Linked DNA regions of Rhinolophus ferrumequinum. The protein of the gene in region 3 interacts with the protein of the main gene of each other region in a pairwise test. Links are inferred from orthologs where the notes say so. Each region holds a gene or a part of one and is shown on either strand. Other genes may lie near its edges. The genes, in order: ABI2, HOXA1 and SDCBP.

The links.
Region 1: the proteins of SDCBP (region 3) and ABI2 interact in binary tests that used the Homo sapiens proteins (3 or more experiments, as listed by UniProt). The link is inferred for Rhinolophus ferrumequinum from reciprocal best matches to the Homo sapiens genes SDCBP and ABI2.
Region 2: the proteins of SDCBP (region 3) and HOXA1 interact in binary tests that used the Homo sapiens proteins (3 or more experiments, as listed by UniProt). The two-hybrid records come from large-scale screens. The link is inferred for Rhinolophus ferrumequinum from reciprocal best matches to the Homo sapiens genes SDCBP and HOXA1.

Annotation. Positions count from the first base shown.
Region 1 is NC_046291.1:28,615,565-28,623,614, reverse strand, and holds the start of ABI2 (abl interactor 2), read left to right. Parts: upstream 1-3,896; 5' UTR 3,897-4,115; coding exon 4,116-4,232; intron 4,233-8,050. UniProt on the Homo sapiens protein: Regulator of actin cytoskeleton dynamics underlying cell motility and adhesion. Functions as a component of the WAVE complex, which activates actin nucleating machinery Arp2/3 to drive lamellipodia formation.
Region 2 is NC_046303.1:14,536,856-14,544,905, forward strand, and holds HOXA1 (homeobox protein Hox-A1), read left to right. Parts: upstream 1-3,077; 5' UTR 3,078-3,181; coding exon 3,182-3,827; intron 3,828-4,413; coding exon 4,414-4,769; 3' UTR 4,770-5,930; downstream 5,931-8,050. UniProt on the Homo sapiens protein: Sequence-specific transcription factor. Regulates multiple developmental processes including brainstem, inner and outer ear, abducens nerve and cardiovascular development and morphogenesis as well as cognition and behavior.
Region 3 is NC_046297.1:20,115,115-20,123,164, reverse strand, and holds the start of SDCBP (syntenin-1), read left to right. Parts: upstream 1-3,577; 5' UTR 3,578-3,717; intron 3,718-3,840; exon of another isoform or gene 3,841-3,860; intron 3,861-8,050. UniProt on the Homo sapiens protein: Multifunctional adapter protein involved in diverse array of functions including trafficking of transmembrane proteins, neuro and immunomodulation, exosome biogenesis, and tumorigenesis.

The DNA.
Region 1 (8,050 bases), on a different chromosome or scaffold from region 3:
GTAACACTTTTAAAAAAATAGTTTGGTACCTTTTTAACCATTAAATGAATATCCCTAAAATTGAGACCAAAGTTTGTATCACTAACACTGAAACCAAAGTTTCAGATGATAAAGCTTATCTAAAAATATAAATCTTAGTTTCCAGCCATCTTGATTATATACAGAACATTTGTTTCAAGATTTAGTATGTTCAAATTATATGTACTTGATATTAAAATTTTCTGATTGTCTCAAATCTGATTAAAACCCAGAAATGTGTATAAATACTATGAAAATATTAATCACTGATAATTATTTTTCTTGTTTGGGGTGAGAATGGGAACTCAGTTAACCATGTCTTTGAATAAAAAACTCTGCATTTCTACTGAGTACTGTGTGGTATCTCTAACAGGGAAGTTAATTGCACAGAAAGGAATTCTTAAATTTCATTGAAATATACATTCACATATATATATATATTCATTCATTGACATATATTTTATGTATGTGTAAAATTATAGACATATAAAATTTGGTGTTGTCTGATAAAATCACATAGCAGCCAAAAAACTAATTTTGAAATTCTCAAGGTAAAAAAGAAAAACTGTCCAAAGTATCTTCATGGAAAAGAAAGACATTTAATAATTTCTTATTTACTCGTTTCCAAGCATTTAATGTACAACTTGGAAAGGTGATAACCATTATAGGAACTGCCATTGTGTGGATATGAAACAGCTGGTATTATTCTTTAGGTGCCATAGATGCTATTTATTCTCTAGTAAATTTAAAAAATGTATGAGAAAATAACAGTAAATACTAATCAACCCGTTTACTAATGTTAAGGATACTAAAGCTGATAGGTTGATGTCATTTAAAAGAGAGACTGAAAATTTGGGGGCAGAGAGTTAATGATGAAAACAATGTTTATGAATAATTAGCATGTTGGTATGCAGGAAGAATCTGAGGGGAAGTTTGGAGTGAACAGTTGTATCTTCTAGATATTGTAAGACAAGCAATGTAAACAGTTGTTATGCAACATTTATTTCTTTAGAGCCCACACTATCAGACACTGTATGTCCTTTACCTTTCCTCATTTAAGGATAGAGTTACTAGCACGATATACATCAGGGGAATTCCACAGACAGTGCATCTTTATTTCAGCAGAAGAATTTGACACTTTCTCATCAGCCTTGTGACTAGGAATGTTGAAATGTTGGATAAGTGTAAGTCTAAGGCACATTCGCAACTGGCCAAATTTACTGTATTTTGATAATGGCTCCAAACAGCTACGTGAGCTTATAGGGGCGAGTCATCAGGCTCTCTTCTTGGCCTTGAGTTGTTCAACATTCTTATTCAAATTGGGGACGAAACGAAGGTTTAATTATTGTCACTAAATACAAAGAACTGCAATTAGATTAAAAAAACCGATTTGGCATGATTGGCTTAATATGTAAAAAAATGTAGGAGTTTTTAATGTTTTGAGTTAAGCTGATAAAATTACTTTAAAAATGTCATCTTGGGCTGCATTAATAAAAGTATTCTTTCTAATTTGGGGAGACTGGACTCTTGAAAAATAATGCATGTTCATTTTAGAAAATTAGGATGAGCAAAAAAAACCTCCACAATTCCACCACTCAGATAACATATAAACACACATGTACTTTTATAGATCTTGCGGTTTTTGCTTAAGTTATCTTGGTGGCAGCAGAAGTGTCTATGTCCTTGGGTCCTCAGATTCCGCTGAGCAAAACTTTTAGTGGAGATTCCCAGCTGCCAGAAATTAGAATCATAGATCTTCAGAGCCAGAGAGCAGTTTCATCTGCGTCACCTGGACACTTAGAAATATAAATTGGGCCAGACCATCTGAATCAGAAACTCTGGGGTTGGAACCCAGCAATCTGTGTTTTAACAAGCCCTTCAGGTAATTCCAATCCACACTGAAGTGTGAGAACTGACCCGAATTTAACCCTTTGATTTTTCAGATAAGGAAGCTAAGATCCAAAGAAGACAGTCACCAATTTATTGGAGAAAGTACTAGAATCTTCACACAGTGATTCCTGTGAGGAAGAATCATCCCTCAGGGAGATTTGTTTTTGGGGTAATTGCTAAGCAGGATTGAAAGATTGCTAAGTGTGAATAGTGTAATGGGGGAAGAGTGTCTACCATTTAACTCACCTGCTGGCCGCCTTACAGTTCAACAGTAGCCTTTTGATCCATTGAAGTTTATTCTGAAAGAAAGGTTTGCTTGATCTAATGTTTCATTCACTTGATTATTCATAAGTGTCTTATTCCCTGAAGCAAATTTATGTGCCATTTAAGTAACTATCCCATTCCATCACTACTGCTCTCTAAATGAATCTCTGGAGACGGACACTGTAGCTTTCATTTTTAACAAGCTCCCCACAACTGAAATTTGAGAACCACTAATACAGAAGATGTTTAAAGTGGTTAAGAATAAAACTAGTTGGACTGGATCAACATTTTCATTGTCTTTTAATTTGGGTTCCATGGTGGAAACTCAAAACAATTTGCTAATGTTCATCATAAAGCCAATACAACATTAACATCATAGATTCCTCCAGAAATTTGTAACGATATGGCATTAAAATGATTTTTTTTTGATACACAGAGGGTGCTAAAAAATGTATACACGTTTTAAGAAGGGAAAACTATTAAAATCCTAATAATAAATACCGATAACAAAAGATGAATAGAAGTTACATTTCACTTCTGCAATTACAAGAGGTGCTCAAAGTGGTTACAATCAGTATCCAGACACTTCTGATTGCAGCAAACTACTGCTTGAGCAACACTGACCAAAGTATCCACTTGTATACATTGTTTTTTGGCACCTCCCAGTAGTTTCCTTACCATCTGGGAAAAAATGAGGGAATTACTGTAGAGGGAACAAGAGATCACAAAAGCATGAACAAGAGTTAAAATAATGGATCCTGTTCTAAACTACAACTGTAGTCAACTTTGACTTTCCACAGGACAGATAAAGGTCTTGGACTTTATAATATCTCAGCAGTTGTCAAGAATTTTGGTTTTTTAGGATTACAACTCGTGGAGTAACTGGATTTGGGGAAAAAGATACAGCATCTGGTAAATAAGTACAGAATAACTGCAAGATCAAAATGGTCTACCTCGAATTTTTGTAGCGTTTAACGTTTTCTAAGGTGCTTTCACATAAACTTATTTTATCCATGTGATAGTACTGTAAGGAGTAAAACTAGTACTAGTAAAACCGTGTTCAAAACTTTACTGACCAAAAAAAACCCCACAAAACGAAGTTGACAGAACCAGAGAAATGACAGAAAAGGTTGTCAGTGAGGAAGAGAGTCATAAAGAGGGCAAGCACAAAAAGCTGTGGTCCAGTGGTGGGGCAAATGAGAACAGAACAGAGGCTAACCTGGCCGGGGACCACAGCGTTAGGGGGCAAATGCACAAAAAGTTAAAGTGCAGAAAATTTGGGACAACGAATTTGGAATTTGCCCCAAATAGGATGGATGAGGTCAAAAGATGAAGAGAAAAATGAAAAGTAAGGCAGCGCTTAAAGCTGCATGGAAGTTTTGTAGGCTGACATTATCCCTCAGGCCGATGACCAGGGCATTGGCCCCCAGAATGAGGATAACACCCAAGGGAATCGCGGAGGGCGCCGGCGAGAAGAAGGCGGGGCCAGTAGCGCGTTCACGCCGGACTAACAAAGGCCGCCGGGGGTACTTCCCCAGCTACTCAACCTGTGGGGGCCGAAGGGTTAACCGCGCGCCCGACTCCCGCGCGCATCCCGGCCCCCACTCCCGTCGTCGCTAGGAAACGCCGGAAGTGGGGGAGGGGCAGGCGGAGCGGCCGAGGGTGGGAATCTTTTTCAGGCGCCCGGGGGCGGAGAAAGGGGAGCGCGCGTGCGCGCGCCCGGCCGGCTGTCGCCGCGGTGACCGTCCTCGGAGTCCGTCGGCTCGCGCCCCGCCCCCGTTCCTGCTGCCCCCTCCCCTGTCGCGCGCGGGGGGTGTTTCTCGCTCCTCCCGAGTTGCCGCGGTCTCCTCCGCTCCTCCTCTCCCAGTCTTGGGTTTCCCTGGCGCTGTTGCCGCTGGTACCTCTGCGGTCTGTATGAGGAGGAGGAGGAGGAGGATGTGAAGATGGCGGAGCTGCAGATGCTGCTGGAGGAGGAAATCCCGGGGGGCCGCCGGGCCCTCTTCGACAGTTACACGAATCTGGAGCGGGTGGCCGATTACTGCGAGAACAACTACATCCAGGTGCGACGCATCTCCTGGCCCGAGCGCGCGGGGCCGCGGGGTGGTGAGTGGCGCGCGGGGGATCCCCGGGGCCGGGGACCGCGCGCCTGGGGGCGTAGGGCTGCGGGGCCGAGGCCGCGGCGGGGACACGGCCCAGCTGAGCCCGCGGTTTGGGGGAGGAGCAGGGTGGGAGCTGGGGCTGGTGAATGGGTGAGAATCCTCTGGCTGGATGAAATTCTAGCTTTAAAACATTTTAAAAAGCCATGAATCAGTCCTCGGTGCGGTGTTTGTGTGGTGTCCCTACCTCTTCACTTCTGCCCTCGGTCGCCCCCGCACTTTGTGCCATTCAATGTTCGGGATGGCGGAGGAGCCGGAGAGTGGCATTTTCTATTTGACAGAATCCTGCTCCCCTAAAAGGCAGGAGTGTGGGGCGATTGATGGGTCATCCTCTTCCCTCAAGCTTTGGAAAATATTTAAGGGACTGTGTTGCTGCAAAGTAAAGTGCTTCAGTTTTCTATTCATGTGAATACCCCAAGAGACCTTTTTTTTTTTTTTTTTTTGCTTGCTTGCTTGCGTTTTAGGTTCTAACCCTTGATACAGCAGAGCAGTTATCTCTCTGAAGTTACTGCTCTTTTCCTCCTTTGGAGAATGAGAAGCTGCATGATAAACTTCCCTCGCCCCATCCCATTAAAATAGGTAATTTATTTTCCTGTGGGAAGAAGAATTGTGACGATTTTTCAGAGAAAATTAGGAAACGATCCTCATGGTTTAATTTTTCCCCTGATGGTTGGTTTGGCACCGAGACTCATATGGTAGCGCTGCGTGTGTATGTGTGGAGGTGGGGGATACAGGGTGAGATGAGATTCAGCTGCTCCTGGATGAAGTAAAGACTCCGTGGATTTAACGACAACAAAAAAAATCCTTTAAAAATTATTTGAAAGAATAGGTTAAAACGCACAGTTTGCAAATTCAGCATCTTTTGTTTTTTTTTATGGCGGACTCTGAATCACATGTTTTCCCTTCCCATTTAAATCCTCTTGGGATAAAGGTGGAAATAGAAGAAGTATGTTAAATTGTTCCTTCACTATGGTCTTTTTTGTCCGGCTCCCATATCTCCAGGCATCCTCCTTAACATCAGCTATATTGGAAAGCATTCTCAAGTCTTAGTGTAAACTGAAAAAATAGGTGTTAAAATTTATAGTTTCATAAATTTTGTAAGAACCACGTGGTTAATCAGGGATGGTATTGTGAGGTTTTACTTGATTAGACATATACTGAACTCTATATTATCTTGTAGGGAATGTTTATATTGGAGAATGAACCAGTCGTGATCCAAGGCTTTTCTCTCCAAGGAGGCAGTTGAAAGTATGGCTAGTAGGAAAAGAAAGAATATGTCTTGGGTTAGAGATATAATCAAAAATACAGTTGTCCATATTTTTAGGGAGCGCTTCTGATACTGAGTAGGGTAGGAGAGATTCAAAGATTCAGTTGCTCAGTTTTCCACTAAATATATTCAAAAGCCTTCTGTGGCCTGGCCCTGTGTCAAGGGTTCTATGATGCACACCTAGTATCTACACAATTCCACAGTGCAGTTAGGAGGAGGGGCTGCTGGGAGAGCAGATGAATACCATATAATGTGTCGATTTATACTCTAATGGACTGCCTGCCAGTGGGAAGAAGGACTGAAGGAAGCTATGCTATCTCAGGGAATTCACATTCTCTAGGAGAGGCAAATCTAAAGGGTGGAAGTGGTAATTGCATTGCCTCATGCAGCATATTATTGCAAAGAGTTAAAGGTCAGTAGAGAAACAGGGTGGAAAAGTGATTGGCTTGCGCTTATTACTAGTAAGAAAAGAAACAGATTCGTCTCCCCTTGGAAGATAATTTTTATTGTAATTTCAAGGTATAGTTCCCCTTAGATTACAATTGTTACGTAAATGTGAAAGTACATGGGTTAATAAAGCTGACAGGTTCAAGGGATCAGTGATTGTCTTTTTACATATTTTTTACATTTTTTCCAGCTGAAAAGAGAATGTTACTGCCACCATTATGTGTCTTTCAGTGGGACTCAAAATTTAGTGTGGTGGCATTTTACAATTCAAAGTATGAATATTGATTAATAGAAATGGATTTGGATTTTAAAATATTTCTTCAATTTAGCATCTACAATAGATTTTACATTATTACCTCTTATATTATCATCTATTTTAGGATCTAGTGGGTATATTATTGATATTCTCTTCCCAGATGACAGTTCTTATATGATTTGTTTGTAGTAAAGTTGATAAATAGAACATGGTGATAGTGATTTGTGCTGACCCAGCTGCACATTTGGATATCTTTCCTTGTAACCCAAAGAACTGACTAGCTGGGGTTTTAATGCTACCTTTGACCCTGCAATTGCTGCCTTTGACCCTGCAATAGATGAAAGTTAATTGGTGGGATCGGTGACCAAATGGTCAATTTAGCTTTATTATAGCTTCATGCCATAACCACTACCTTAAGTTAACAAACCAAACACTCGTTTTATTTTGTGGAAATGTAATTTATGCTTGTAAAGCCGAAAAAGGACAAATCTGCTCATATGTAACAAAAGGTAAGGTTCTTTGCTTAGTGTTTATAAATAGCTGGTTTTATGCATAAGAATATCCAAAAATATAAGATAAATAAGAATACATGTGAATTATGTTGTGTGAAATTGAGCAAAGGAGGGCAAATGATTGCACAGTCCTTTTGAAAACAATTGTACTGTTTAAATTGTTTCTATCTTATAAAAATATCCTTCAGATACATTATTAGCATTACGAATAATTAGGTATTGCCTGTATGAACATGCACACAAAATCTACAAGTAGAGCAGAGCAGGGTTGTAAGTAGTAGTTTTCCAGGTTACTAATAGTAGTTTTCCAGTTAACATCAGAAATTTAAAAACCATCTTTGGTAAAACTTTAGATGATTTTTGTTTTATTACTTCAACCTCTAGAGAAAATGATAGTCAAAGTATTTTTTCTAAAATGTGATGATAAAAAGTTATAACTACAATTTGTTGATATTTACCCAATTGATTTTCTTTATTTTTTGCCTATAAAAAAGAACTTAGTAATTGTTAAGGATTTTTTAAAATAATTTTTAATTTTTCAATTACAGTTGACATACAATATTATATTAGTTTCAGGAGGAAAACATAGTGATTTGACATTTATATAACTTATGAAGTGATCACCCGGATAGATCTAGTACCCATCTGATACCATATATAGTTATTACAATATTATTGACTATATTCCCTATGCTATACTTTACATCACCATGACTAATGTGTACCTTTTAATCCCTTTACCCCCTTCGTCTATTACCCCAACCCCCTCCCATTTGGCAACCATCAAAATGTTCTCTATATTTGTTTCTGCTTTGTTCATTTTCTTTAGATTCCACATATAAGTGAAATCATATAGTATTTGTCTCTCTGTGACTTATTTCATTCTGCATAATACCCTCTAGATTCATCCATATTGTTGTAGAGGACAAGATTTCATTCTTTTTAATGGCTGAGTAATGTTCTGTTGTATATATGTACCATTTCTTTATCCATTCATCTATTGGCGGACACTTAGGTTGCTTTCATGTCTTGGCCACAGTATAAATAATGCTGCAATGAACATGGATAAATAAGTCTTTTTGTGTTAGTGTTTTGGGTTTCTTCAAATAATCAGAAGTGGGATTACTGGGTCCTTCTTTGTCTCTTGTTATAGCCTCTGATTTAAAGTCTATTTTATCTGGTATAAACATTGCTACCCCAGCTTTTTGATTGTTTGTGCCTATTTTCATGAAATATCTTT
Region 2 (8,050 bases), on a different chromosome or scaffold from region 3:
AGCAAAGGCTTGGAAGTTACAATGAAATCATGGTCTTTCTCCAAGGGTTTGCTATCTACCTTCCCCCACCCTTTTACCCCCAAATCCCAGCAGCGGCGGAGGCGTGTGAGGACCCTGGCGGGTCTCCTGCCCCGGGCGCGGCGCGGAGCAGGGCGGCCCGGCAGCGGCCAGGGCTGAGCCGCTGTTTGCGATTCGTCCTACGCTCATAAATCAAACGCTTTCTATGAATGAGAATGTCATCAAAGAGATCAATTGCAGGAACACATGCACAAATAAAAATCCTCTTACGTATTTGCCGGGGATCCCCGTCCGAAAGCATTAAGTTAGAAGGCGTTTAGTCATAATTCATTTTTATTGCTCTTTTAAAACAACAGCTTGGCTGAGCCGCGTATGCCAGGAACAGCTCGCGGCCTCCGCAGCGGCGTTTTGTCTCCTCGCTCCTTCCTTCTCTAGTAGAAGAGCCCCGAAAGAGGCGGTTGGAGCCCAGCAAGCCGCTTGCAGGAGATCATTTAAATAGTGGCCAAGCTCGCTTTCCACCCACTCTCCCCGGGCGTTTAAAGGGGCTTTAGCTCGAGTCGTAGGGCGCTGGCCTACTTGCCCAGAGGACCGAGGGTCTCCTACCCGGCAGAATGAGCCCCAGGATTTCGTGGGGGTGGGGAGCTACGGAAGCCTGCGGGCTCGCGGCCAGGGAGGCTGCCTTTGTGAGCAGCACCGGGAGAGCAGCGCTCAGGGCGGCCAGCCGGGGCGGAGCGGACTCAGCTGCGAGAGCCGGGCCTGCGGGGAGAGGGGAGCACTGCGCTGAGGCGGGTGGGTAGCCAGTTCAAGTGCCTGCCTCTGTGCCCGTTCAAGCTTGTGATCCCAAGAAATACACCCACCCCTGCTGGCCCTGAAAAGAGCCCGGGAGGGAGGAAGAGAGGAGAGAAGAGGTCGAGAACTAGCAGAGGAAGGACAGCGGTTGTGGCGGGGGTGGCTTTGCGGCGCGAGCCTTGCGGCCTAGGACGTCGCGTAAACCCCGGGCGGTGGAGGCCAACAAAGGGGCAGGTATAAGGCAGGGGGGAGAACATACCGACGAGCTTCGGCTCGGATTGCAGATCGTGCGCAATGCCAGCAAGGACCCCCTCATGTCCTGCCTCCATCCCCATAGTAGCCCCTTCTCTCGCCGTCACTGAAGGCCTTTGCGCTCCCAAGGAAGCCGCCTCCAGGAGGGCCGCCTTGCCTTTTCCCTTCTCCAGGATGAAGTTCCCCAAGTGCTGAAATTGGGTCAGGAGTGAGCTTTCCTGCCTGTGCTCCCTCTTAACCGTGATTGGGGATGGGTCAAAAGTCACAGGAAAATAACTTTCCAAAAAGAAATGTTTAGGGAAAATGTTTCTTTGCCACTGAGGGAATCCACAGTCAAATGTCTGCAAGAGTTTTCCCTCTTGGGAGGACACGTTTTGAGGGAACTTCTGTATATGGAGAACAGAACTCAGAATACAATCCTTAGATAAATTTCATCTGTCTAATTCCGATGTGGTAAACATGGTCAGAGTAAAATCTAGACTGCATTGGCTGCGAAGCTTCCTGGATGATCTCTGGATTTCTACCTAAGAATGCTTCAATTCTCGGTCTCTGTTTGGCCTTTTCTCTCCACAAGCCAAGGGTTGACATGAAACCTAATAGTAAACAGCAATTAACGACCCCGTCAGAATCTGGGTAGGATGAGGGTGATGGAGAACAGGACCCCTGGCCTAGAATGACACTCAGATTTGCACGTGTCTCTCTAGGGAAAGATCTGAAGGTTCACACAAGGAACTACACAGTTACAAAAAGGAGGAGGTGTTGTGGGGGAAGAAGAAAATGTCCCGTCCACCATCGGCCATCTGTTCACCGCCCCTCCCACCTGCCAGCCCCCATCCCCAATTCAGATACGCAGTAGAATGGGGTGGTGGTGAATAAAGGAAGCTCTATCAACTCCTAACATTCTCCCTCCAGAAAACGAGAAACGTTGCGCGGGGGGTGTGGGGTGGGAGTTGAGCGTACTTTGTGGGAGCTGTAGTCTCGCCCTTTGAGGGCTCAGCCGCAGCGCGCCGGCTCCTGGGTCTTGGGGAGCCGGCAGATGGCCTGCAGCGCATGGCCCGGCCCCCACGCTGGCCACGTCCGCTAGCGTCATCTTTCTCCCCCGCCTCCTAACCCTCAAAATCTAGCGGCCGAGCTGCTCCGGATCCCATAGGGCTCCCAAAGCAAAGCTGAGTGGGGAGGAGAAAGGGGCGGAGAGCCAGGAGAGAGGGAGGGCGGAGAGCCCAGCGGCCCCGGCCTTTTCCGGCGAGCTCAGCTCCGAGGGTTCGGCCAGCTCCCGGGCGTCAAATTACCGAAGCTCCTCACACCCATGCTAATAGTCCGTGGGGGAGGTGGGGTGGAGGTTAGAAGTTTCGGAGACCCTCCTTGGAGAAGGGAAGTTTCTTTCTTGTCCACGTCTCCTCCACGCCCTCCCAGCCAGCCCTCTGCGCACTTCCTTTCCATTCCGAGTCTGGAAAGCTGGTGGCCCATCCTTAACCGAAGCCACCATGCTCTGTGCTCCTCACTGCCCCAAGGCACCACAGCAGGGAATGTGCAGTGAAAGCTCCGGGGGAGCTTGGGCTGCTGTGCCGGCCCGGTTCCTACCCTTCCTGCTCGGCGCGCTCCGATCTCCGGCCCACTGATTCCCGACCCAGGAGAGCACGGAGCTCTCTTCCCTTCTCACCTCTTGCCAGTTCATCTTTCTGAGCGCGGTGGGGAGGGGGCGGAGACGAGAAAGGGATGCTTCCCAGCCCCCACCTCGGGGGGGGGGAGGGCGAACGGAGTCGGCGCGCGGAAGGCAAGCCTCTGCTCCCCTTCGCCCCAGAGCTCGGAATCTGCCCTAGCAGCCGCCGCAGCTGCTGCCGCTGCCTGGGGGGGCGACTGCGCGTCACCTAGACTGAGGAGCGCCGGGGATTTAAATGCCACTGAAACGGTGATCCATCACTGCGGGAGCCAGCAAACTTTCGCAGGAGGCTCCGCCATTGGCTGACATAGTCACGTGCCCCTCCCGTAGCGCCCTCCACCCTCCCGCCCCCCCCTTGCGCACTGTACATTCATATCATTTTTCTTCTCCGGCCCCATGGAGGAAGTGAGAAAGTTGGCACGGTCACCCAGGACTTCGCAGGACCCGGTTACTCAGTGACAGATGGACAATGCAAAAATGAGCTCCTTCCTGGAATACCCCATCCTCAGCGGTGGCGACTCGGGGACCTGCTCAGCGCGAGCCTACCCTTCCGACCATGGAATTACAACTTTCCAGTCGTGCGCGGTCAGTGCCAACAGCTGTGGCGGCGACGACCGCTTCCTAGTGGGCAGGGGGGTGCAGATCAGCCCGCCCCACCACCACCACCACCACCACCACCATCACCCTCAGACGGCCACCTACCAGACTCCCGGGAACCTGGGGGTGTCCTACTCCCACTCGAGTTGTGGTCCAAGCTACGGCGCGCAGAACTTCGGTGCGCCTTACAGCCCTTACGCGTTAAATCAGGAAGCAGAAGTAAGTGGTGGGTACCCCTCGTGCGCTCCCGCTGTTTACTCTGGAAATCTCTCATCTCCCATGGTCCAGCATCACCACCACCAGGGTTATGCCGGGGGCGCGGTGGGCTCGCCTCAGTACATTCACCACTCATATGGACAAGAGCACCAGAGCCTGGCCCTGGCCACGTATAATAACTCCTTGTCCCCTCTCCACGCCAGCCACCAAGAAGCCTGTCGCTCCCCTGCATCAGAGACGTCTCCAGCGCAGACCTTTGACTGGATGAAAGTCAAAAGAAACCCTCCCAAAACAGGTCAGTCTTGCCATTCCATGATGTCCCTTGATGATTGTGGAAGGAGTTTGTATGCTTAGTGTCCAAGGGATATATATATATATATACACACATATATACACATATATATATACACACACATATATACATATATATACACACATATATACATATATACATATACATATATGTGTGTATATATATGTGTATATATATATATATATATAATTTTAAGTTCTTGCTACACACCAGTGTTGTAGGACGTGGGGAGATTGCCCTGGTGTGTTGGGGCAAAGGACCGTCTGGGACTGTTGTGTTTTCAAAGGGGCTGAGGATTAGAGGTTCTGGAAGTAGGAAGTGGGAAGTTGTGTGTGCTGGGGGAATTCTGTTAATATCTATAGGCTCCATTAATCACGGGTCTGACCACGCTAATGGCTGACTTCAGATTAACACTTTACACCTCATTACTCACCCTCCCCAGACTGGTGTGTGTTGTGAAATTCTTGATCTCCCTTTTACCTGAATATTGTTCTGAAACTGTAGGGGATCTCATACTGATTGTAAAAATTGTACCTTTTTCTCTGGTCGCTTCCCACCCTGTCCCTAGGGAAAGTTGGAGAGTATGGCTACGTGGGTCAACCCAATGCGGTGCGCACCAACTTCACCACCAAGCAGCTCACCGAGCTGGAGAAAGAGTTCCACTTTAACAAGTACCTGACGCGCGCCCGCAGGGTGGAAATTGCCGCGTCCCTGCAGCTCAATGAGACCCAGGTGAAGATTTGGTTCCAGAATCGCCGAATGAAGCAGAAGAAACGAGAGAAGGAGGGCCTCTTGCCCATCTCTCCCGCCACCCCGCCGGGAAGCGAAGAGAAGGCCGAGGAATCCTCAGAGAAGTCCAGCTCCTCGCCCTGCGTTCCTTCCCCGGGGTCTTCTACCTCAGACACCCTGACTCCCTCCCACTGAGGTCGGCCCAGCCCCAGACTCCTCAGCCCAGGCTCTTCCTGGGCTGGGACTTCTTACCCAAAGCACATTCTTAGCTTATCTTCCTTTCCATTTGCAGTCTCTCTCTTTCTGATCCTATCTGGGGAGCTCCTGGGCAGGATAATGTGTTTCCAGAGAATTCTTCACTTGATCTGGGGGGTGGGGTGGGGTGGAGGATGTTAACTCCTTAATGCAGATTGGGTGCCAGCATCACTTTTCTGATGGCTCCTAACACCCCTCCCTACTTTTAGGCAATTTCCGCGGAACCTTCTGTTCCTTTCAGATGCCCTTTGGAAAAGTCTCCTTTGCCAGCAGAAACATGTCAGAGAAAGGCCTCTCATCTTTTATCTATTTGTATATTTACAGTTCTCTCCTACTTTGACCTCAAAGAATGATAGAGAGAAAGGAGAGAGTCCAGGAGCTCATGAAGAAGAGATGCACTATGAGTGTGTTTACACGATTTGTTTTTTAATTTAATTCAGTTTCATGTGTGTGAGTTTGCTGGTTGTAAATACTTTGTTCTGAGAGATTTATCTTTATACAGATTTTTTTAGAAATGTTTAGATTAAGTGACTAAAACAGGGTGGGCAAACTCTCAAAGCTGGTACAATTTTATATGTGATTCTAGGTTAAAGAATAAAAGGCATCATTTCAACTCAATCAGTTGCCTCAGAGGGTAGCCTCAATTTATTCTTTTAGAGAGTTAAGAAAGCCTGCAGAACACAAGGTTCAGAAACCTTGTTTCCTGTGCTTAAGTCTCCCTTCATCCCCACCCCTTTCTTGTTTCTCTGGCCACACCACTCTATTTCAACTCTGTGCTGGATTATTCAGAACCTAAAGGTATTATTCAAATGAGCTTCTTCTTTCTACAGTTATCTTAGCTGGAACTGGTGTATTTTCAGCTCAATTGTTAATGTGATGGATGGCACAATGAATGTATATTTTGTGTGATTCGTGAATAGTCTTTTGCATGTCGCACAATGTTTTGATGTCCCTGAAGTACCACACTGAGTTCTATCAGTTATCCTCTGTGAGCCTATGATATTCCCCATTTCCTGTACAATCATGAGCAGCTCTGAGATCCTGGAGTGATGTGATCCAGAGCAGAGTTTACGGGTCTTAAGATGTCTGTAATAAATACATTCAAGTTTCAGATATGCTTAAGCATCCGTGTATTTGGCTTGGTTACTATTTGTTGGTTCCTACAAAGTTGGCTCATTTCATGTGGGGAAGGGGAGACAGGTGGTGTGCATTTTCAAGGAGGTGGGACTTCCCTTGAAAAAAAAGTAAGCGCTTTCTAATACATAGGTGAAGCGTCCCCATGAGTGTAATTGCACCTGACCAATGTCAACAAGAGGTTGATTTTCTTTAAAATAGCAACAGCTCCTTTATTATAATCAAAGTTCATAATGGAAAAAATAGTGAAGAAATTTATGAAGCAGATCTATTTTTGAAACCAACATGGGTACTTCCTGGGTCAAGTGCTAACCTTTTCACCTCCAACTGAATGTTGACATATATATAAACAGAACTCCCTTCAAAAGCCAAACTCTTCAGTCAGTCTTTCCTCACATCAGTGAACCAAGAGCTAAGACATTCACATTTAATTAGATCCAGTATAAAGCTGTTTGAAGATGGGGCCCCATCCCATGCTTCTTCCTTGTTTCTGGATTATCAGTGTTTCAGTATATTCTACCCTTTAAATTGAGTGTGTTCTCTTTCAGTAAACCCTTGTATACCTCCTCCCATTGCTCCTGTCCATATCTATCCCATCCTGGCACCCTCTACATGCCTCCCCACCCCCGCCATCTCCTTTAGGTTACACATCTCTCATTCCCAGCATATTCAGCTTTGCTTTCATAGACATCATGGCTGTAATGGGTCCTCAAGTTCTAATTCCATACCACATAAGCCTGAAAAAAAGTTTTTATTTTCTTCTCTGGGCTCAACAGGTTTTTCCAGGTGAACTTGTGGAAATCACGCCGAAGTCCATTTCAATATTTGTGTCACTTATGACCAAAGCATGTGTTTGCTCTCAAACAGAATGTCAGCAAATCAAAGAGTTCCAAGTGGCTCGCCTAGATTCCTTAACACTTTTCCTTTCCTTTCACACATTTTTAGAGGCTTTAATTTTAGCCCCAAGGGTAGAGCAAAAATTTTACAGCATCACAACAAATACAGACATATGACTTCCTTCCTCTCCAAAGGGTGTTTTACAAAGGATGGGCTAACGGTAGGAGGAGGAAATCCTACAGAAACTCGAAATTTGCAGGCCCCTAGAACACCCATGAGATTTCCTGTACTTCCCTGTCAAAGGGGACAAGCCTGGACTTTGCAGGCACAGTTGCTGCGGCCATATCAAGGGCACCCGGTGCCCTCCCCTCGGCTCCTGGATTCTGGGGTTGCCTCTAAAAGACTCAAGTGGATGGAGAAGAACTTCAAAGTCGGCCAACTCTTTCTTTCATTTCCCCTCCCTGGCCTTATACAGTATCTTTTGTTTATTAGTGTAAGGCCACACAGCAAAACAGATGGCTGGCTTCCAAATACTTTAATGTGCTAAAGTGCCATTTGCATGCCACTGCCGAGATTTCAATATCCAAAAGCAGGGCCCGACGCGCTGGAATCCTGGAGATTCCAATCTTCAAGGTGGTGGTTTTAATGTAGCTCAGAGAGAAGAGAACGATAAATTATGGGTAAACATCTCAAGCCTTCTTTAGGTCATGAAATAAATCAGTTAATAAGCAATGCATTTAGGAAACATTAATATACCTTTCAACAAGAAAAACGTTTGTATCTTTTTAGTTGTCCCAATCGATTAAATCAAAGGCGCTTAACACATCCTAATTTCAAGGTCTCTCTTTTTCTGTTTTGGTCTCTGAGGAGCACAGTTAGCTCCTTGAGCAATGAGAGCAATGGGAAAACAGAAAATAACATTTTATTGATAAATTATAAAAAGACAACAGTCTCAATTAGGGATTTGGGATAAGTACAATATAAAATTACAGTTTTCAAATGCTTTTTCCTCACTTCCTTCACATTCATGGAAAGTACTCCCGAAATTCAGGGCATCCCCAAACTAGGCTGAGTTAAGATCTTGCTGTAGCTCTGAAGTCTGCTCTCGGCTTCACCTTTGAAAGTTTACTTTTGGAGGCTATTCAGATGCCGTGGTGTTTTCCTCTGAGGCAATCAGATTCAAACTGATCAATATTTACTCAGTCTGAAAGGGTTGTTGAAAAGGCTGCTAACAACAAACTGCTTAGCTG
Region 3 (8,050 bases):
CTACTGCCTTTCAGTCTACAAGCCTGACTGTGAGCATCCTTGTAGTCAATGGACAGACAGAGAAAAGGGACCAGGGGTATTCAGTGTATAGATTTGCACTCACACTCCCTTTATTCACTAAGATGTGGGTTTAGTTTGCTACAGCCATAGGTGATGGACACATCACGGTGATTCTGCAGATCAAGATGTGGACAGGGCTGGTTTCTTTTGGAGTTTCCGGAGGAGAATCTACTCCTCATCTTTTCCAACTAGCAGTGAATGGTTCTGTTGTGTTTGTTCTGCGGCCTCTTGGGAGGGGTTCCCATGCAGGCCAAAGTTCACCGCTGCCTGTGACCAGGTGGGGCTACTGGTAGGAGCTACAGAGTGATCCACAATTGGTAGCTGCCTGTGCTGGACCTGGAGGTGCATGGGAGAGGCCACACTGCAAACCGAGGCCAGCTACCATCAGTATTGGGCATTGGGCCACTCAGCAAAAGGCACAGGGTACCCCAAGGCCTGCTGCACCCTGCTGGCTGCCTGTAAGGCTCAGCCCCTGAAAGAGCCTGTGATACAGCCTTTGGCTCATGGCCCCATAATTTCAATCTCTGCTGTCTTCCTTACAGCTTCTGCTCCTAACTTCGATCTTCTATTAATAGCTTCTACTTCACCCCTCCGTGCCCCTAACCCCTCTCCTTTTCTCTTGTGGACTCTATCATGCCCAACTGGATAATCCAGAGCAATTGTCCAATCACAAAATACTTAACCTCATCACATCTGGAAAGTCCCTTTTATCATGTAAGGTGACATATTTACAGGTTTTGAGGATTAGGACATGGGCATATTTGCAGGGCCATTATTCAGCCTACTACACCTGGTAACTCACATGGCACTTCAAATTTAACAAATCCAAAACCAATCTTCTAATCTTCCCATCGCCTACATCTGCACATCTTAGTGTACCCCACATTAACAAGTGTGCCAATGTCCACCTACCTGCTCATGCCAGACACCTGGTACTTATTTTAGGAACTTCCCTGTATTTAATCCACATCACACCAACCATGAAGCCTTCCTGATTCTTTACCCTAATGTTGTTTGGATTTTTCTGATTTTCTCCATTTTCACTGTAGTAGTTTCCTAGACTGATCCACACATTCAATTCATCCTCCAAGCAGTAACTAGGGTAAGCATTTTAAATGTAAATCTAATCATGTTATTCTTTTCAGTAACTTCTGTAGAGCTCCGCCCATTTCTGTAGCTTTGTCTTAAGCCATTCCTTCTCCTTACTATTGTGTTCTGGCCAAAACGGCCTTTCAATTCTTGAAATGCATTAAGTTTCAAGTCAACCATAATGCTTTTGTGTTTGCTATTCTCTGCCTGAAACATTTCCTCCCTTTGTTACTTAGCTAATGCTTACTCTTCAACTTAAAAGCCTGTCTTCAAGGATGTCTTCCTTGAACTCCTGGACTAATTTTGGTTCCCTTGTGATATCTTTCCATAGTCCCCTGAACTTTTTCTTCAAACACCCATCACAACTGTATCTGTGCAATTATTATATTTTTAATTAATAGACTTTATTTTTTAAGAAGTTTTAGGTTTATGGAAAAATTGAGCAAATAGTGCAGTGAGTTCTCTTGTACTTCCATTTCCCTAAACACAGTTTACCCTATTCTTAACATCTTGAATTAATGTTGTACATTTGTTGCAATCGATGAACCAATATTGATACACTATTATTAACTGAAGTCCATAGTTTACATTAGGGTTCACTCTTGGTGTTATACGGTGTATTCAATCCCATCAACAATTATTTGACACCAACTGGGTGTTCTATAATTCAATTCAATTCTGGTACTAACAACCCAGAGTTAGCATCAGATACCACAAGTTATAGACAAGATGTCTAACAAGACAGCTTCCATTTTAGACAGGATCCTCAAAGTGGGGTCCTCATGTATCTGCACTTCTGTCCAACTGAACTACAAATTTATTCATTCCCACAGATTTTTTTCTCTGTTTTTGGTAGAAGCCCAGGTGTTCCAGCACCATTTGTTGAAAAGACTATCCTTTGTCCATCTTTGCTCCTTTGATCCAAAGATCCATTGGGTGAGTATTTGTGTGAACCTATTTCTGGCCTCTGTATTCTATTTCTTGTCTCTGCATTCTGTTTCATTCATCTGTTTGTCTAGTCTTTTGCTAATAACACATTGTCTTGATTACATAGCTTAATGATGTAGGGCACTATTAGGCCTGTGACTTGGTTCTCTTCTTCGATATTATGTTGGCTCTTCTGGGATTTTTGTTGATATAAAAAAAATAACTAGGATTTTGATTGAGTCTGTGTCAAATCTATCAAGTTGAGAAGAACTGACATCTTGACAACACTGAATCTTACTATCTATGAACATGGAATATACTTCCATTTACTTGGATCTTTTATTTCATCAGGATTTTATAGTTTTACTCATATAGATCTTGTATATATTTTGTTAGATTTATACCAAAGTATTTCACTTTTTTGCATTAATATAAATGATAGTTTCTTTAATTTCAAATTCTAATCATTCACTGCTAGTATACAAAAAGCAATAATAGTTTTATGTATATTAAACTTGTACCATGCAAACTTGCTGTACTTGTGTATTAATTTTAGGTTTTTTTGGGGAGAGGGCCCAATTCTTTGGGATTGTGTACATAATCATGCCACCTGCGAACAAAAATGGTTTTATTTCTTTTTTCCCAATCTAGCGTGTAATTATTTTTAAATGTCTATTTTATCAACTAGACCATAAATTCTCTGAGGGCAGTGTTCATCTTATTTACTTGTCATCTCTTTTCTGCTCAGATTTTTATTAGAATTACCAGTTTATTGTGGCACTAAATAACAGCTAGACAAAAAATGCTTCTACGTTAATGCTATTTCGTATTCTATGTTACTCCATGGTAACTATGGTAAACTTAGGTAACTTAGGAAAGGTGTGCCTCAGTTTCTTTGTATGCTAATGCAGATGTTAGCTATTTTATAGATTGATGTGAGGACCAAATAAGACTATATACATCAAGTTCTTAGGGCAGTGCCTGGAACATAGTTAGCCCTGAAGAAATACAGTTTTCAGTTTTTATATTAGGATACAGAAATTTTGTGCAGGACTACACAACCTTCAACAGCCAATGAACTTTAGTTCAGATAGACAAAGAGTAATAAAAGTCAAAGAAATAAGTTGTAACACAAAGAGGGCAGGAGCTGAAAAAGGTTGGTGGGAGGAATGTTTCTGAGCCTGTGGGTGAAGAGGTTAGTGACCACAGTGGTGAAGTCCAAAGCTGGGGTAGGAATCTCCAAAAGATAGGTTCTTCGGAGTTTCTTTGTGTCGGAAGGGATGGGTACCACGTGACCAAGCGCCACGAACACAGCAGTGAGCAGGTGGCACCGGGCCCTTGGGCAGGAACTACTGAGAGGGTGGAGAAGGTGGTGAGCATAACCGGTGTCAGCGTGGGCGGCTCCACATTCTTCAATCCCGCACCCGGCCCGGTCACCGTTACCACACCGCTGCCCTGTTACCATGGGGACGGGTCACCTGACTGGGCATCGCGCGCCTGCGCGGGTGGACGGCGGGGGTGGTTCCGTGACGCGACTCGAGGGCGGTCTTCGGGCGCCCGCCGCTTTCCTCCCTTCGGGTCTCGGAAGTCCGTGCCAGTGACCGGAGGCGGCGGTGGCAGGAGCTGGTTTCCGCGGCCTAGGTAAGCATCGCTGAGGAGGAAGAGGGACGCTCAGGCTGCGTCCGGGGCGCGGGGACAAGGAGCGGAGGCGTGGGGACCCTGGATCACTAAGCGGAGAACGTCTACGGGTTTCGGGAGGTGCCGGCGGCGACGTCCTCTCCTCGGTGGGTTCCGCACCCCCCCGTGCGCCCTCCCGGGCCCGGGGTGAAAGTTTGCCTGAGCGGCGCGCTGTGCCTGCCTGCGACCCTGCGGGTGTCGTGGTCCCTCCCGGGCCGGGGCTGGGGACAGAGCCCTGAGGCCGGGCCCGGGGCGCCGCCGTCAGCCCCCGCCTCAGCTCTGGGACTCTTTCTCATTCCGGTCCTTGTCAACCCTTTTTGTTCTTCTTGGGTGAGATCCTCAGAGACCCGTGAAGAACGAGCCCGCTGGCTATGCTTCATCGACCCTCGCATTCCATGGGGTTGTACTTAATCACCTTCCTTGGTGGCACAATCGGAACGTCCGGGATTTGGTAGGAGGAGGAGGTTGTTTGTTGAGTGGGCGAAGCCTTGACTTTCTGGAAGGGGGCGTGGGGGGGAGGGGATTGTTCTCCGGGCCTGTTTCTGGAGAAATTGAAGGAGAGGGAAAAACGTTTCCAGTAGGGTGTGTTCAGAAGGAAGTATCCCTTGAGATCTCGTGACTCAGAGCTTTCATTTCAGGATTTCCTGGTAATAATGGGAAAAGTGAAGGCATATGGACGTAAAGTTTTCCTTTTCACTAAAGTGGAATTACTTAATCATGGAGTTTTCTAATGTGCCATTTTTTGAAAGGAATTTCTAGATTCCTCTTTTCTGTATATGTTGTCTGCATGCACATTTACTGTTATGTTTTCCATTAGTAAGTCCATTACTCAGAGAGTACACTTGGTTTACTAAATTCTTAACATGAACTTGCTTCAAAGAAGAAAACAATCGATTAAAAAGGAAAATTACACTGCATGCTCTTAGCTTTATATCAAATATATATTAAGTGATTTAACTCAAATTCCTCCAGTCTTTAGTTTTTCTATTTGCAGTTGAGGGCAAACGGTAAAAAAATAAATAAATAAAAGAGTTTATTTTCTGTTACCAACTTACCAAAAAAGTCTGTTCTACAAACTTTTATGTTTTAAATGGTACATTGATACAAATGATAGATCCAATGGTTTGTGCCACAGAATAAAAATAAAGAAGTGAAATGTCTTCTAAAAGGTTCAGGAAGTAGTTACTATAATACTTTAATCTAAATATAACTTTGACAACATTAATTTTGAGTTATGTTTGTGCGTTATAAGAAAGGATATAAAAATCATGACCCAAAGAGGAAGAATTTACTAATAGTGGCATTCGAATGAAGTAGTCAATAAACACTTCCTTAAATTGAGCATGACTCAACTATTTTTTTCCTGTTTTGTGGGATCTTTCGAAAAAGAAAGATCCCTCAAAATACTTTTAAAAATAATTCCTACATCTAGTAATAGTTATATTAGCACTTACTAATTTCTTTCTAACTCCTGCAAACATTTTTTTGGTATATTTATATAGATTTTGAGGAAGTAACCAGTAACATGGTTCAAAATTTAAGCAGTAAAAAAGGTATATGGTATAGTCTTCCTTCCTTCTAGGTTCTCCAGCCAACTATATTCCCTTGTAATAGGAGCCAGCTGTTTTACATTTCTTAGGTATCCATCTTGGGGTATTTTATACCTATACAGACAAACATACGTATAAATATATTTCCATCCTTTTCTTTTTTCCACTCTTTTTGTTGAGGTAAAATACACATAGTGTAAAGTTTCCCATTTTAACCATTTTAACTGTACAGTTCAGTGGTATTAAGTACATAGACGTTGTGCAACCATCACCACTACCATCCATCCCCAGAACTCTCTTCATCTTTAAAATTGGAACTATACCCATTAAACAGTAACTCCCCATTCTTTCCTCCCCCTGGCTCCTGGCAATCACCATTCTACTTTGTGTCTTTATGATGTTGACTAAGTACCTCATATAAGTGGAATCATACATTATTTGTCTTTCTGTGATTGGCTTCTTTCACTGACTGTGATGTCCTCAAGGTTCATCCATGTTGTAGTATATTGCAGAATTTTCTTCCATTTTAAGGCTGAATAATATTCCATTGTATATACAAAGGGTGCCAAAAAATGTATACACATTTTAAGAAAGGAAAACTATTAAAATTGTAACACTCAATATATACCGGTAACAAAAGATGAATACAAGTCACGTTTGACTTCTGCAATTACAAGAAGTGCTCAAAGTGGTTACTGTCAGCGTCCAGACACTTCTGATTACGGCGGACTGCTGCTTGAGCAACATTTACCAAAGTGTCCACTTGTATACATTTTTTTGTCATCCCTGGTATATACCGCATTTTGCTTATCCATTCATCTGTCCATGGACACTTGAGTTGCTTCCACGTTTGAGCAATCATGAATAATGCTGCTATGAACGTAGGTGTACAAATAATATCTTCAGACCCAGTTTTCAATTGTTTTAGGTATATGCCCAGAAGTGGAATTGCTAGATCATATGGTAATTCTATTTTTAATTTTTTGAGGAACTGCCATACTGTTTTCTGTGGTGGCTATAGCCTTTTACATTCCCACCTAGAGTGCACAAGGGTTCTAGTTTCTCACCAGTACCTATTTTCTTTCTTTCTTTCTTTTTTTTTTTTTAACAGTAACTGTGGATATAAGGTGGTATCTCTTAGTTTTGATGTGCATTTCCATAATGATTGGCAATGTTGAGCATCTTTTTATGTGCTTATTATTATTGGCCATTCGTGTATTTTTGGAGGAATGTTTATTCATGTTTGACAATTTTGTTTTTGTTGTTGTTGCTGAATTTTGGGAGTTCTCTAAATATTCTGGATATTAATCCCTTATCAGATGTATGATTTGCAAATATTTTTTCTCATTCTGTGGTTTGCCTTTTTACTCTGTTGATAGTATCTTTTGTATCTTTGTTAGGAGATTGAAACTGATTCATTCTTTTTACAAGGTATAGGTCTATTCAGATTTTCTATTTTTTTGTGATTTAGTTTTGGTAGATTTTGTGTTTGTAGGTATTTGTCCATTTCATCTAGGTTACTTTTTGGTAATACAGTTCCTAGTACTCTCATAATTCTTTTTATTTCTGTAGAATCTGTGGTAAATTTTCCACTTTCATTTCTGGTTTTACTATTTCTAGTTTTCTCTTTTTATTTCTTAGTTCATGTAGCTAAAATAAATGTTTGCCATTTTGTTGATCTTTAAAAAAATTAACTTTAGTTTCATTGATTTTCTCTATTTTTTCTATTCTCTAGTTTATTTATCTTTGTTCTAATCTTTGATATTTCCTTCTGCTACCTTAGGGTTTTTTTTTGTTTTGTTTTTTTTTTGCACTTCCTTTTCTATTTCCTTAAGTTCCCCTCCTTTTAACACAAATGTTAGCATACTTGTACTGTTCTAAATCATGCTTTGTTTTTACAGTTAATGATAATATTTTGAACCTCTTTCAATATTATTGTATATAGAATTTTCTTCTTTGTTTTAGGTGTTTTGCTGTTACAGTTGATGCTTCAGTGAATGAACTTTTACATATATCACTTTTTATGTACAAATATATTTGTAGACTAAAGATCTGAAGTGGTGTTGCTGGGTTGGAGGGTATCGGCATGTAATCACTTTATTTACAATTTATAGAAATTGTACTAGTTTAATACTTCAGTAGTAATGTATGAGTGTTTCTCAAAGCCTTACTCTGAGGGTGTTGGTTGGGTTTTTGCCAGTCGAGTAGATATGAAGTGGAATCTTTTAGCTAAGAAGAAATTATTCTACTTAGAATAGACTTCATATGACCATATTTCTTAGAGGCTATCATCAGAATCTCCCTGGATATTTGTTAAAAAGAAGAGTCTCTAAGTTCTTCTATGAAATGCGTGTCAGACTGGGAACTATTTTTAACCAGTGCCCAGGTAATTCTGATCTGATCATTAGCCAAGTTTGAGAAACATCGCTCTGAAAGACTATTTAGGAGTTTATCAAAGTGTACACGTTCCTTGACCCTATGTATGAACCATCTGGAATGCTTATTAATCCTCAGTACACTATAAAAAACATGATCATCACTATTTACCATTGGAATCCAATGGATTTTTTTTATTTTTATATTTTAGGCCACTTTATGAATAATTTGCATGAGTGGAAGTAAAGGGATAATGAAAACATTTGATAATCACTTGACCATAAGAAACCCAGATTTTTGTTCTAAATTTTCCTGGTTTTGAAGTATATATAGCTGAAATGGGCAACATCTTTGAGTTAACTAATTGCTCA